Arabidopsis thaliana: one gene and its partners. The protein of the gene in region 1 interacts with the protein of each later gene in a pairwise test. Each region holds a gene or a part of one and is shown on either strand. Other genes may lie near its edges.

Region 1 (5,186 bases):
AATCTAAGCGCATTAAAGCGAAGCCCATTCTCAGCCCCACCTAATAATATAAATTTCTTTGCGGGCGGGAAACATCGGCGTATGTATTCAATAAGTGATTTAGAAACCCCTAGTCGATTATCGAGATCATCCAACCAACTCTGCTTATTATTTCTCTTACGTAAATTTCTCGTTCTTTATCTCTCACTGTTTCCTTAAAATTCATCTAACTCTTTGCGTAGAACCCAAAAGTTATATATTTGGCCACAATTATCTATGATACTGAAAGAGTTGTATTTGCGATCGAAACGATTTGGCGACCGTGTTCCTCTATCTCTCTCTATCTCTGTGTGTCAGTTTATTTTTCAAGCAGCTTCAACGCTTTATTACCCCCAATGATATTGTAGCCGTGGACAAAGACGATGAGGCGGTTTAATCCCCAATGTTGAAGCTCTCCTTGATTCTTATCCGGAGAATGCTGCTGCCATGGTGAGTGAAGAAGCAATCAAAGGCCTGTTTTAATATCTATCTGAAAACCTTGAGATTTCTAATCTCTAGTGTAGTAAATGATTAACTGTCTCAGTCCCTATTTCATACACTATTTATTGTTGTTGGTCGTGTCCTGCGAATATGAATCAGGGATGTGAGCAAAATGTTATATATAATATTAATGATGAAAATAGCTTTGTTATAATATTGGTTGAGGCTTCGGCCAACATCCGTCTCTTAGGATTCTCCTATTTTGTTTTTGTCTCACCTTGTGTTATGTGAAATATCTCATGGAAAGAATCACCTACAACAATAGATCTCAACATTAGCTAAATTTGAATACCTATTGTTAATATATTTAGTCTATCATGCACCATTCCCTAACTTGGCAATATTTTAATGCGCTTCTTGCGTTTTAGATAACTAATACGCTATATGAATCTTGGCCAAATAGCATAAACCCCAACGTATAAAAGAAATCATGGCATTGGCTAAAATATCTGAATAAAACTATATAAATCGATGTAAATTTTATCATATACAGTTTTTCGATTAAATAATTTGTTTTGATATGGATGTAAAGTGAGAACATCAAGAAAAGCAGAAGAAAGTCAATCTTCGATATACATGTCAAACATAATTTGAGACGTTACGAAAGAAGAAGAAATAGTACCAATTGTCAGTCGACGTAGCTTTTTCATTGTTTGTCATGGCACTAATCCGAGCGTTTTCTTGGTAGTTTCTCCAAAAGACAAACTTTTAACAATCATACATCATACCAATTAGACAATTATTATTTTGTTGGTAATTAATCAGCAAAATTGTAATGTTGTTAGTTATCACAATTCAGCTTTTACCCATTACAAATTTTCTTCAACTCATAAGTTTCGTTCGTGTATTTAATGATTTAAACCAAAATAAATTTTCACTTTTAAGTTTATAATGAAGCCATGGGTTTCCGTCTCTTAATATATACTTCTAGAGATGCATTTCGGAAAGTATAAATTAAGTCTATTTTTTATCATCAATATGTTAAATTGAACTATAACTTCCCAATCAATGATTTAAGTTTCACCATATATACTCCAGAACATTTAATTTATTTAATTTAAAAGGGTAAAAAGACAAAAATAGAAACAAATTAAAAGAAGAATCTAACTGCATGCGATCGAGACAAAAACCCACGCCTCTCTCGACTTTCTCAATCGTATCATTACAAAATAATTACATTAACTTTAGTTCTGATTATTTGTCCTAAGTAACGCATTACAAAAATAAATAACATGTGTTACTTTTTACATAACATGAAGAGAGAATAAATATATATATGCCACGTCAGCTCAGCTGATCCGGTGACCGTCCGATAGGAGAGAGACGAGAATGTCGGCGAAAGCTCTGATAATGAACTTGTGTGTATCGGCGGCATTTAAAGAGAGGTAACTGAGTAACAGCTCATGCAAGAACTCGTAACGGCGAAGATCTCCGGCGTTTGTAACGGCGTCGATCATCTCCTGCATTGATCGTCGGAAGTCGTTGTACGGATCAGGAGATTGCACGTAGTGTTTCACGGCGGTTCCTCCGGTAAGAAGCCTAGTGGCAGTATCGTAATTATCCCGGCAGCGGAGATCTGGCGAGTCAGTGATTGAGTTTGAGCAGCCAGGAGAAGAGAAGAAGAAGCGGCGGGAGGCTAAAACGGCGGTTAAGTCAGGAGGGGGAGAGTCGTCGTCAGGGGCAAAACCGTAATTATCGGAATCATCATAAGAGGCAGAGGAGGAAGAAGAGTTAGCTGCGGTGGAGGTGGAGGCGGTGAAGGTGGAAGAGGGTTCAACGTCGTGGATAAGAGGCTTGGATAGGCGGCGGTGGGCGGCGGAGGAGTCGTCATATAGGAGGTTAAAGTTGTTGATGAGAAGAATGGATGGACGGTTGGGATCGTCGGAGGTGGCACCGGACGGAGATGAAGAGGGCTTGGTGAGATTTGATGGGAAGCAAAGATGGAAGTTTTTCCACATGACTCTTGGCATTGTTTTTGTTTTTGTGAGAAAGAGAGTGAGAGAATATGTATTGAGCATGTGGATTTAGCTAGGTTGTCTTAATTTGTTTTGATACTATTATTGTATCATGCTTGTATTTATATGTACAAATATTTATATTATATACGTACCACCATGTATTTGTATAATGTATTATATTTACACAATGCATCGTGCTTTGCTGTGAATCTTAAGACCAAAATAATTTTAATTCTTATTTTTACTTATTTTGTTTGTATAATATACAGATCTACAAAAGTATCTTATTATTAACGGTCATCTTAGTTTTTTGTCTGTTCGTTTGAAGGTTTTAAGTTATACCAACTTTCAGTAATTCATACACTTTTTTTTTTATAGATTTGTTTTCTTGAAAATGGTTATATATCACTTAAAACTAAATTTTTAACATATTTGATATAAAATTCATATTTATTGTTGACAATGAAAATTTCTATTTTATTATTAATATACAATCTTGATAAAATAAATTAAAATATTAATATCTTAAATGTGAATTAGAAATTTCAATTAATTAAATACAATAAGAGGGTAATTTACGAGTTTTTGTCGTATATAGTATAAGGTAAAATGACTCAAAAAGCAAATCTTGATGGTAATCGAAACTTTAAACATGAAAAAGCGCCTACGCGTAAAGTATTTGTTTTTTTTCTTAGATTTGATAGAAGGGAAATAAGGTTATATACGGACATGCAAATATTTATATGTTTTCTCCATTATCAACATATACAAATTATATGAGTAAACTTCAACAATATAATCCAAAATTGTACTGTTTATCTTTATATTTTCACGCTTTTTTTTTCTTAATGTCATAGGCAAAAATTCTGCGGGGAGAGCAAAACCTTTATTGTTTAGTAAATAATTTTCTTCAATTCATTTACGAACTCTAGACATAATAAATAAATTAACGCCAAATAAGAGGAATTATTGTCCTTGCAAATATATACAGCAAGAACTCACGAGGAGGCAATGTTTGGACTAACCTAAACTGGCCATCTCATGACTCAAAGACGAAAGATCGATGTTTGTGCAAAGTACACTGACTCACTTCACTTCTCATTGATCAATCTTAACTAATATTTGTTCTCTTCCCTTTTTCAGTTTATCTTAGACCATTGTTTCTCCTAGCAACAAATTCACCGAATGATCATGTCGCGATTAGTTTTGGGATAAAATCATAAAATTGCTTCTCATCAAGAATTGCTCCGCAAAATCAATGTTCAAGCAGATTACTAGACCAAAATTTATGATCGAGTAGTCCGAATATAATCTTTTGCATTTAAAGCCTCTAAAATTTACAAATATCTAACCAATGTTACAACATGGCATGTACCTAGTACAAGCTACTAGGTTACAACTTCAGAGCGAAGAATTAAAAAATGAGAATCCTATATTAATGAATATTCTCGCTTGAGAAATCTATGCATGACAACTTTCTATCATCAACAATAATAATTAGATTTGATCAATCTCTGTCGACGAGAACCCGCCAAAAGTGGTGACTGAGAGACATGTCACACAACATCGCCCTATTTATACGTAGAAATATCGATCTATATATATATATATACTAGATCGACAATAATATGGTAAGTTTTTTTATTTTAAATATGGTAAGTAATAAATGCTTGTAATACGAAAGGCCTTTATGCTCTACTCATTGTTTGGTGTATAAAAAAAAAATGGAATCAAGGTGTCAGATATGATGGTACAGCAATTTTTAGCCCCACACGTTGTCATTTTTCTTTGGAAGGTACATTGAGATCAATTTCTATTTTTGTATTATTTTGAAATCATCATATAGTTTCATTGGATTTATCACAAGAGGAATCTTATAAAAATGCGAATGGGTATATCTATCTCTCTTTCAATATCTATGTCACACAAGTGTTGTTGCTATATTGTAGGGACATGTCAAAACTTGTCGACAAAAGCTCCATGAATGGGAAACATTGACATCAAGATACAAAATCACATGATTCTTCAACTTGTGAAAGTTTTCGAGTGTGAACATCAGACTCACATAAAACTCCATTGTAGATATCTCTTGTCATAAGACACTGTCACATTCAATATCGTTTTCAAACTCTCCAAAATACTGCCTGATTGCAATGTTACAATTTTGTCATGGACCCACCAATCCCTGTGAACCAAGCCGGTTACTGTTTATTACTCCGACCCGACCCGGGCTTTTTAAAGATAGGCCCAAGAAGGCCCAATGATTGAAATGTGAAATGTTTGATACATTGATGTTTTTGATCTTCGCTCAAACCCTACAATAAAACTTTGGTTCCTCCGAATTTCGAGTTCTTGTTCTTCCCAAGGCCCCTACTTCGGCCCTAGCATCAACCATTGTCGTTTTAAAGCTCCAGGTTTTCATGGCCAAGAAAGAAGTAACTATCGTTGAGATCTTCTGAAATTAATCAGTCTTGAAGTCTCTGGAGATTGTACGTTTCTCTTCTTCCTTTCCTCGTCGGTTTTAATGGATTCCGTTTGCCTGATTTGCAGTTTCTGCTTCACCGTGAAATCGAAACTCGTTTTGCTCTTAAACAAATATTATGCATGCGTTTCAATTTGGGTCTTTTTCTTGACAATATTGGTTCTGTTTGGATTAAGAAATTGAAAATTAGTTTTGTAGCTGAGCCTTTTCTCTTGTGTGTATAGGAA
Region 2 (5,287 bases), on another chromosome or scaffold:
ATTCTCTTGAGTTTCTGATTCTTGCCAGCGATGGACTATGGGATGTTTTCTCCAATGAGGTTTGTAAAATTAAGTTCTTCTTCGAAAAACTACTTTCATGTTCCGATAAGTATCACATCAAACTCAATGATTGAGATCTCTCTGATGGTCTTTCAGGAAGCAGTTGCAGTAGTAAAAGAAGTTGAAGATCCGGAAGAGTCCACCAAGAAACTTGTGGGAGAAGCAATTAAAAGAGGAAGTGCAGACAATATTACATGTGTAGTTGTACGTTTCTTGGAGAGCAAGTCAGCTAACAACAACGGTTCCAGCTCATCCGAGGAAGCAAATCAAGTGCCAACCGCTGTTAGAAATGACTCAGACCACAAGATCTCAGCCAAAGAAACCAATCAAGACCATACCACAGTAAACAAGGACTTGGACCGCAACACTGACAGTCAAAGCCTGAACCAAAAGCCGATTGCAGCTAGAAGTGCCGATAACTCGAACCAAAAACCAATCGCGACTACAGCAACAGGACACAGCGTTTCTTCAGAACAGAGTGGTTTAACCGGGGAAAAGAGTCAAATGCCAATCAAAATTCGCAGCGACTCAGAGCCTAAGAGTTCAGCCAAGGTACCTAATCAAACGCAAAGCACAGTACACAACGACTTGGACAGTAGCACTGCGAAGAAGCCGGCCGCAACAGAACAGAGCGGATCAACGGGTGAAAGGAATCGAAAACCAATCAAAGTTCATAGTGATTCCGCCGCAAGAAAGACAACTCCCTCTATCTTTAACTAAAACGTCCACTACCTTCTTTTGATAAATGAATGTATCATCTTCATTTAACTTTGAACTATTTAGTGTCCAAAGATTTTGCCTCGAAACTGATTTATCTCGTTCATGTAAGTTTCTTCTCTTTGTCACCCTTTTTTCTGAGGTCTTTAACTTCAACAATGTAATTTCTTTTTGCAGTGTACCAAATTTTGTAAACTTGTTGATTCTAAATAGTTTGAGTACATAACATAAACAAGAACATATTCAAAATCACGATATATACAAAACAAGTTACTTATAAACAGTTAAACACCACCCACTCACTTCTCTTCCTCTTCATCGCCCACAACAACTAAAAATACTCATCAACAAAAAACAAACAAACTCGTTTAAATTAAACGTTCGTTAAAAACCTTATTACTAAAACAAACACCAAACCACCCACCATCTTCCATTTTAGAGTCTCTCCCTCTCTCAATATCTAAAATGTAGGTACAAGTCCGAACCCACTAAAGATACCACCATGACCAACCACATCATTGCTCTCATTTGTATCCGTCCGCTTCGCAAACCGTCCCTTGATTCTCGGTCTCATTTCCGCATACGCTTTCCTTGAAGCATACCTTATAGTCTTCTCAAACTTCCTGTTCTTCCTCTTCTCTCTGTACCTCATTACCCTCGCTTCTCTCTCAGCTGAAGTCAGCGGAACAGCCCGCTGTGTCCCCGGATCAGCTCCACTGGTTGCAGGACCACCGTAAGGATACGATACATCAGCCACCGAACCACCATCTGGCACCACTCCCACTTCCATCGACGATGATGACACCTAAATTACACCAACCATTGGATCAAGCCATTATAATAAGTACAATCAAACTGACAAATACTATAGGTTATAACTTATAAGTGAATATGATTAGATCTACACTAGATTAAACAAAACAAATGAAAAAGAAGACACCAAAATTCTTTGATTAATACATAATTAGATACTTAAATTAAGGATTATCATAATATTTCTTCTAATTACAGATTAATTTACACATGTTGCTCGCATAACCCTAAATTTTAGTCAGCCAATCATTACTTCCCAATAAATTAATAATTTTAAGTATCATCAAAAGTCTAAACCCTAAAGATCTAAACTTTTTCGTTAAAAATTGATAAATAATTGTTAATCAAACATAATCAATTAAATTAATCACTGTGATTAAAGAACATTAAGCTTACGCTGTGACTGATGCAATTGTAACCACCACCATAAGTAAAGCCTTTAGATCCTCCGGTAAAATCCATTTCAAAGCAATTCTCGTTCACCGTCGGAATCCTAACCGTCCGATTCTCCACCGGAACAACACCATCAGTACCGGAGCTATTCTGCTCTAACGATTCCACCTTCGGATCAACATTTCCATAATCCAGATCCAGATACGGATCCGGATCCGAGAACAAATACTGTTGACCAGTGTTCATCTCCGGACTATCTCCCGGAACTTCCTCAGCTGAAGTAACAGCAACGATCCCCGCCGTCGCCGTCGTTGTAGTCTTTGGATTGGGAAGTAACAGCCACGAAGCAGCTTCTTCCTCCTCTTCTTCACGGCTTCCGTTACCATCTATATCGGAGAAGTAACAGTCGTCAAGGAAATTAACGGCGGTGTGTTTAACGGAACCGTCACTAGAGACGGAATCGTAAAACGGAGTAACGGGAACGCGTTCGTGACGGCGAGCTAACGGATTAGCCGAGTGGATATCACGGTCGCACGTGACGCATAACGCGGCCGCGTCTGCTTTGCACGTGACGTGTGCCGGTGCTTGCTCGCACACTTCACACATCCACACGCGCGCGTGTCGTGACGCGAGTTTGTTCGCCGCGTGGACTTTTGAATCGCAGCTTAAGCATAGAAACGCTGCGTCTGGTCGGCAGTATAACGCCGCCGTCGCTGATTTGCACGAATCGCAGAGCTTTGACGCCATTTTTCTCTCTCTAAACCTCTTCTTTTTCTTCTCTCTATGTTTCAGTGTCTCTCTCTCTCTCTTTCTTTTGTGGTTGGTGTTACTATTGGCTTCACATGAGCGTGTCAATGAGTCTATCCATGTGGGGTCCATGGGTATCCATCTAGATCGAATGAAAAGTTGACACGTGGTAAAATCTTAGCCAAACAACGTAATTTTATTTCTGATGAAATTACTTGGCATTATAGTTCTGTGTGTTCTTTATTTCTTTATATAATTGTAATCGTATGATGATGATACTTGTAATCATAATTCTGGATCGTCGACATTTGGCAACAGGTGTTTTATTTTAGCAAATGATGCGTAGCAAATTTGTCTACGAACTTTTTTATATGATTTATAGGTTATGAATGGAGGCAGCGGACAAAGCGGTCTAATTTGTCTGCGGTTTACTCCATCTCATTTTTGGGGCGGACTATAAATCGCTGTAAACCAAGTTTATTTGTATGTAAAAACGGTCTGCAGATGGTCCGCAGCGGTTTTCTTCTATTTTTTTTGGTCCGGACCACTGCGGACTATTTTTGATGAATGATAAAACAAAAAACGATCTGATCCATTGACGGTTTTGTTCGCCCCAACCGTCGTAACCATTCAAATCCATAAGCTGACACAGAGAGTGGTTCTATTGCAAAATAAAATGAAAAAAGTGGTGAAGAAGTATGGGTAGATGAGTTTTAGGACCACCACCATGAGGAGCAAACTTAAATGGAAACGATACTGTGACTAGCGAGGATAAAGTAAATGGCCGGTGGGTAGGTCGGTCACTAGTGGGCTGAATATGGGCCTTATGTGGACCATTGGTTTCTAGTTATTACTGATATATTCTGCATGTATGTGTTTTGTTGTTCACTAAAATGCTTATTTCAGCCCAATAACTTTATTTCTCAATTTGCTAAAAGTCACAACACAAACTCACTGGTTTCACATAAACTTATTTCTTTTTTTATCAACAAAGAAATCAACGCCCTCTAGATAGTCATCAAAAATACCTCTTCAAAATTTCATGGTTAACTGCACCGTAACTATTCCACACATAACTCCAGGATAAGACCTTATAAATTTTTACTATCCTTATTACAATATAAATAAAGACTTATTTCAAAATTAGTAACTCGCATATTATATCTATTGATCAGATTTTGACATGTATAAAATATATATATATGTAAAACCAATATATGCTTCTTTTTTTACTAATAATTTGTTGTAATTTTAGTATTTTAGATTATTTATTTATTTTTTTTTTATTTATTTTGAATTATCTAAGATTCATTTATCATGCTTCTCATTTCTCTATTATTCTGATTTAATTGTGTCAAATCAATTTTTTTGGAAATTTTATTAGTTAAGCATAAATCAGAACTAGACAGAACACAACAGGCAATAAAAGAATTGAGAGTACAAGATGAAGATTTTGAAAATCGCGGTGGACTGATTTCTGCAAAAAGAAAAAAGAAAAAAAGAGTATTTATGAGAAAGTGAAGAGAATCGTCATTTATTTTAGGCTTTGATAATGAAATAAAATGAAAAATTTCACTTTCTTATGAAAACTCTTTTTCTTTTCTCCATAAATCAAACTTCTACCACGATTTTAAACATTACATCTTGTACTCTTGGTTTTCTCAAAATAAATTTTATGTTGTGTTGTGTCTGACCAACTAATAAAATTTAAAACTTCAAAAGTAAATTTGATTTGACATTATTAAATTAAAAAAAAATAGAAATATATAAGCATGATAATAATTGAAACTTAAATAATTAAAATGAAAATAAAAATTAGGAGTGATTATCAAAACTCTTAATTAGAAAAAGAAAAAAAAACAATATTGAAAGTGTCAGAATCATACATCATGAAAAATGTGTAACCGTATTGATTTGTGAAAGTTTGATTCAAATGAGCGTTGCATTAATTATGAGTTATGATGTAGGCAGAGTCGCATCGCCGCGTCAGGTAGTTGCAGCAAATAGAGCAAATTCATACAACTGTTCCAAAGTCAAACATATTGAAACTCTTTGAAGCCAATCTGTGAACGGACACATGTCCATATTATGACATCATCTTTCTCAAATTACTTATTTTTTCCCAACCCATAAAAGCATGCCGGCGGCAAAAACCATGGGAGTCGAGTCATCATCAATAAATATGAGTTACGAGCAAAACTATAAAGTGAAAAAACATAAATTGATCGTGTCGTACACTCGTACTGTGCTCTTGTACTATTCTTAAACTAGATGACTTGAAAGAAACGAACATAAGTTTTAATAAAAATTAAACATTGCAGAAATTTAAAGAAACAAATGAAAGGAGTGGGTTTTTTCGTTTAGATTAAAAATGGACAAATGATTGAGGCCTTGAATGGTTCCAATTTTTGAAGTAGTTTTTTTATTTTGATTTTGCAAAAACTAAATAATTACTCATTCATTCTTCTACAAAAAGTAGATTTTTTAAAAAATAGGAAAACTAGATTTTAGGAGTTTTTAGCTATTTCTTCATAGAATCTAAAAACTAAGTTTTGTG
Region 3 (5,745 bases), on another chromosome or scaffold:
TAAACTGACGGTAGAATTATATAGTCATTTTAGAAAGCGATGCTAAATTCAGTGAAACTAAAACAATTTAGCATCACTCTTTTAAATGATGTTATAATTTAAGATAAACATCATTTTTGTTAGTGAGGTTATAAATCCTTTGGTATCATTTTTAATTATTGATGCTAACTATTTTTAGTATTAAATTTGAAAGTTACGTGAAATTTTGATTTTACATTCATATCATTACTCAAAAACGATTCAAATTAAATAATATGTTTTTTAAAAAATTAGCTATTATATAAAAAGCATAATCAATAAATAGGAAAATTAAAATAGAAAAACATCTCATTTCATAAGAGAAGTTCTACCAATACATTATTCAAAATTAATAATTAAAATACAAAAAACATAGCTTTTCTCCTCAAACTAAGTAAGTAATAAGAGTCTCATGCTCTCTATTTGCACGAAGCAAATAGGATTGATTACCATTACTCTCTTTTGTGTACCATATTCTATTTCTTTTTTGTTATTAGTTTTTAAACAAAACTGTTTACTAGTCTATGTTCTGTTATGTTTGTTTGAGTTTTTATGTTAAATTTCATAACTTATTATGTATAAAATTATCGTTTGTTATGTCACTGTATTTTTTAATTTAATACATTATTGTTGTATTTTTAAATTTCAATTAACTGGATAACCATATTAGTATTGATTAAATGCCCAATGTATACCTAAAACATATAGATTTGTTCGTGTATTACTGAAAACATATTTAAATTTGAAAATCATTCTGAAAATGAAAATTTTATCCAAATTATGAGTATTCATTAGTCATTAGTCTATTTTCAGAGTGGATCTAGTCTACCATTGGAAATAGCCAAATAGTTTTTTTTTTTTGTCAAAAGGAATATGTTTACTTAAAAATAGAATTTGTAGGCAGATTTGATGTTCATTAGAGATATGATGCAAGAGAGTTATTTTCTCGAGACTATTTTCTCTGATTAATTGTTGGGCTTGTTCGTTTATTAATCGCTGTGACAGCAATAGGGACTCCGACGAAAAGCAAAAATTATAACGGAGATACAAAAACAGTCGTTCAATATGGACGCCGGCGGCGTCCTTAGTGAAAATGTTAAGTTGCTGTTATTTTTTGGCGACACGTGTATATGCCTTATAGGTCGCTGTTTTTAAAATCGAGCGACTCCTCTTCACATAACTTTCTACAGACTTCAACGTAATTGTGTGTTAAGCAACTGTTTTTTTGGTCGCTGGATATGATCGCAGCGTTTGGAAAAAGAACAGGCCAACAAAAAATATTTATATCCTCTTACTATTATAACAACGAAATCGATAAGAAGGAAACAACAAATGAAATGTTCTTTTCTAAAGTCTCAAACTAAGATGTTATCCAAATACATTTGAGAACTAATTACAAAATGATATAACATTAATAAACAACAAACAAAATAAAGCCGAAAACCAAAATAAAAACAAGAAAATAACGAAAACAATAAAAAAAACTGCAGAGAAAAAAGCCAGAAGAATAGCTCTCAAATTCTCTCATTATCATCTCTTTACAAATTCTTCCTTTTTTTGTTACTCTTAACGCTTTTTTCTTCATCGTCCGATTGTACCGTCACTAAGATCGACCCGCCACGTCATTTATCCACAACACCTTAAAAATCTCTAAAATATTCACAAAATCAGATCGAGTCGCCACGTCATCAAAGACTCGATCCAAGTCGACTCAACCGAGTGAGTTCTCTCTACTGAGTCTTGCATACATCTCCGCTCTCAGCTCTTTCCCAGATTCCACAAATTCCATCGCCGGAGCTTCTTCGATCTCAAACTCTCTTATCCTCGGCCACGTTGCCGCCTGAATCGGACGCAGAGACGACGAAAAAGGTAACCTAACTGCAGATCTCATCGGAGAACTCCACGAACAACCACCTCCGTTCAATTGCATTTTCCTCATCGACGCAATAAGTTCACCGGTACTCGGAGAAAGCGGCGGAGATTCCGACGGTGGTGAAAACGAAGGAGAAACAAGAATCGAAGTCGGAGAAGTAGCTAATCCTGAGAAGAATCCAAGATCTGGATCTAACGAACAAGGTAATACACGTAACTGCTCCGTCGTATGAGCGAAGAAACAGATTCTTCTCCGGCAGCTAGTTCCGTCTTTACACGGCTGAGTACGGTAACGAGAAGGATGGAGCCAACACTCGAAAACTCCATGAGAGAACTCACACGAATCACCTCTTCTACAACTTCCTTTACGAAACTCAGGACAAGCGGTGCCGGAGTAATGAAACTTTCTCGGATCACGTCGTCGAGCTTTTTCTCCGGGATGTGCGAACGGACACTCCGTCCAATCATGAGATCGACCTCGAGCGCATCGCCGGATTTTGAACTCGTAGATGCGAAACTCGTCGGAGGAGAATGAGTCGGTGAGTGGTGATGACTCGTCGCCACTTGATGAGTCTGAATCGTTTGTTAACTCGTTTGACGGGAGGTAACGGAAGAGAGAAGCGAAGGAGTCGAGATACGGTGACGGAGAGTGTGGGTAGTCGTTAACGCTGTTAAGGTTGACGGAAGAGAATGGTGAAGAGATTGTGGCCGTTGGATCGTTGATTTGATCCCATTGAGGGATATGGATCGTTGGATGTGGCCGGTTTTTATTTTCGCCGATCATCATTTTTGTTTAGTGAGTCTAGAAGAGAGAGAGGTGTGTGTCTGTGATATAAACTGCTTTATTTTAACCATGGTTGGGTCAAATATTAACTACGGTAAAGTTATGAAAATCTTGACCCTATCCACAATACCGTACGGTAAACAATTAATAAGCGCAAATCTGCAGATGATGACACGTGTAAGAAAAAATCTCCAATTTTTGTTCGTCTTTTGTTTTTTTCCCCTTCATGTTCGTCTTTTTTTTTTTTTTTTTTTCTTCATATTTGTCCCCCCAAAAAAAAAAAAAATGTTTTCAAAGCTTTAAAAATATTTAAAAATTTTCAAATTTATTTTTTAATCAATCACACTTTTAAAACTTTATTAATTTTTAAAGTTTTAAAAGCTTTTTTCTCTCCATTTACTTTTTTTCTTTTGTTTTTTTCCTAAAGTCTTTAACTTTAAAAGAGAATAATAAAACAAAATAAAAATATTTTTTCTTTATCCATAAAATTTCAAAACTCTTTTCAAATTTATTTATATTTTATCATTAAAAAATCGATTGATTAATTCGAATTTTATTTTTTCTGTTCTTTTCAGATCCAATTTAAATATTTAAAATAGTGAATTTGTAAAATGAATTTTGTATTTTTTTAAAATAAATTTATTTTAGTTACTATTTTACCAAATAAATTGATTTTTTAGCATAAATAATATTTATAAAAAATATTAAATAATAATAAAAATAATTGTGATTTTTTTGTACCAATCAGACTTTAACAGTTAAAGTTTCTATCGTCAAAATTTTTACAACCAAAATTTTTACAGTCAAAGTCGTAACATCCGAAATATTTAGAGTTCAAAAGTAACAGCCGTTACCAATCAGCCCCAACATCTACTTTATTACGCTTTCCGTTTTAAATTAATTGTCAGAACATTAAAAAAATAATTAGAATAAATATCAATTTACATTTTTAAAAGCTAATTTTGACTACAAACAAAATTAAAGTTTTATTTGCAGTGATTTATGTTTTAACCAATAAGAAATTTTGTAAAGTAAAAAATAAAACAAATTATTAATATGTGTGTCAAAACCTAAAACAACATTTTTGGAGTATCACTAACCAAAAGTTATATAGTCACATAAAACATAGGGATACATTAATTGAAGAAATTAAGATACACATTAAAAATTGAAAAAAAAAAAATTTCTATCATAACTCAAAGTTTATCACCAAAAATTGTGTTAATTATTCCGTAGCTGTTATTTGTTTATAAAGATTTAGATCATTTTGACCAGACTGTAACTATTAGATCATTTTGAAGAATCGTAGAATCATACTATTTTATTTGCAATTATATGAATTAGTCCACACTAATATTAAGGGTCTAGCGATATGAAACATAAGACATTACAGTAAGAAAATATTTGGACGGTACAGTATATATTACTTGTCACGTGACTTTCAAGGTCGTAGACTACTCCCCATGACCTGACAAGAGTGAATAAATTTGGTTATTGTCCCCCATTTTTTCTAGATCATGGAAGGATGCAACGTACGTAGCTTTTATGAAATAAATTTCGAACATTAATTTTAACTTTTGGCTCTCCAGCTGATGGGAGTAAATTGACATGCTCCAAAGAAAGAAACACAAGTCACCTAGTGATTTTCAAGAAAATGTGCTTCCTTCAAAATATCCGAGGTCTAAGATGAAATAGTTTTAAAAATTGTTATGCGGGGCATATATTATTAGAGTGTTGTGCACTTGTAACCTTCCAGAAAATAAGCAATTTGGACGATATTTTAAGGTTTGGTCCATGTTCCAGTATCGTGTTAGGGTCCACTGCTTCGAGATCTACTTGATTGATACTCTTCCATTTGTTTTCTAATTGTTTGATGCAAAGGTTATCCATTAAGGGAAACTTATCTATATCACGTGGAATACTCACTGCAAAAGATTCGCAATATTAGACTTATAATTGTCACTAATCAGACCATTAAACAAATATCAAATTGATTAATATGTTGAATTTAATAATCCAATTTGACCTCTTTCAGATAGGGCTTTGGGGACAAATCTTCTTAAATCGCACCAAACTTTTATTATAAGATAATTTTTGGTTCGTGGCTATTAAATTAAGCCTGAAAATTTAAACATATGTTTCACTTACAAGCGTCAAGTATGGATAAACAATGATTAATCATAAGCTATCATAATGACAAAAAGAAGTATGATCGTTATCAGTTCTCTTATGCATAAACTATTGATAAAATTATAATAGTCACGAGATGATTGATCGAGCACGATAACTATTATAATAGTCACGAGAGAATGATGTGAAAGTTTAAGAATGCGTCTAAACCAACAATAAAATAATTTAAATAGTTATAATTGAATACACATTCTATATTAGTAAACATTCAAATTATTTAAAATATCTACGAGACACAATAGCCTCCCAACAACCATTCGTACATTCACTTTCTCATTAGAAAGAAAACGTATCCTAATTTGTTGTTTTCTCTATGAATGTTAATATCATCTAATAAGTCCATATAGACTATATCTAATAAATCCATATAGACTATTGTCTCTGAATATCAATGGATTTGAATCTTTGGCCAAAAAATTAAACAAAGAGACAAATGATGTAGAAGTCACATTACATAGTGGGAGTTAAAATTAACCAGAGTTTGCATTAGGTTGCAATAACGCTTGCATTTACGTCTTGCGGTGCTTACGTTCTGAATCTCTTTGTCGATGAGCTTGAAGATAGTTGATATTGGGATCGAGACTTGGTTGTGAACCACATCATTCCTTTGCTTCCACATATATCCTAACATTTATCTAAACAATCTGGTGCTAGAAGAAAGAGATTATCAAACTGATGCAATGACAAACTACGAAACACCACTCCATAACAAAAAAACTTAACCGTATATCGATCCTCAACTTTAGGAATAATCCTAACGCCGCACCCACCCGGCACCTGGCACCCACCACTTGAAAAATTCATAGCTCATGGCCAGTAGGGAACCGCGGAGGAAACTTACTCAGTCCATTGCGAGGATAAGGACAAAAGTACTCCTTCAA

The links. The genes of interacting proteins can lie anywhere in the genome.
Region 2: the proteins of OFP12 (region 1) and COL4 interact in a two-hybrid assay, tested with the Arabidopsis thaliana proteins (one large-scale study listed by BioGRID).
Region 3: the proteins of OFP12 (region 1) and ATCTH interact in a two-hybrid assay, tested with the Arabidopsis thaliana proteins (one large-scale study listed by BioGRID).

Annotation. Positions count from the first base shown.
Region 1 is NC_003070.9:1,587,376-1,592,561, reverse strand, and holds OFP12 (ovate family protein 12), read right to left. Parts: upstream 2,590-5,186; 5' UTR 2,538-2,589; coding exon 1,809-2,537; 3' UTR 1,550-1,808; downstream 1-1,549. UniProt on the Arabidopsis thaliana protein: Transcriptional repressor that regulates multiple aspects of plant growth and development through the regulation of BEL1-LIKE (BLH) and KNOX TALE (KNAT) homeodomain transcription factors.
Region 2 is NC_003076.8:8,586,900-8,592,186, reverse strand, and holds COL4 (zinc finger CONSTANS-like protein), read right to left. Parts: upstream 2,731-5,287; coding exon 1,987-2,730; intron 1,583-1,986; coding exon 1,238-1,582; downstream 1-1,237. Other genes in the region: AT5G24940 (Protein phosphatase 2C family protein), read left to right, coding at 1-59, 157-780.
Region 3 is NC_003071.7:11,038,749-11,044,493, reverse strand, and holds ATCTH (Zinc finger C-x8-C-x5-C-x3-H type family protein), read right to left. Parts: upstream 3,164-5,745; 5' UTR 3,021-3,163; intron 2,929-3,020; 5' UTR 2,678-2,928; coding exon 1,730-2,677; 3' UTR 1,238-1,729; downstream 1-1,237.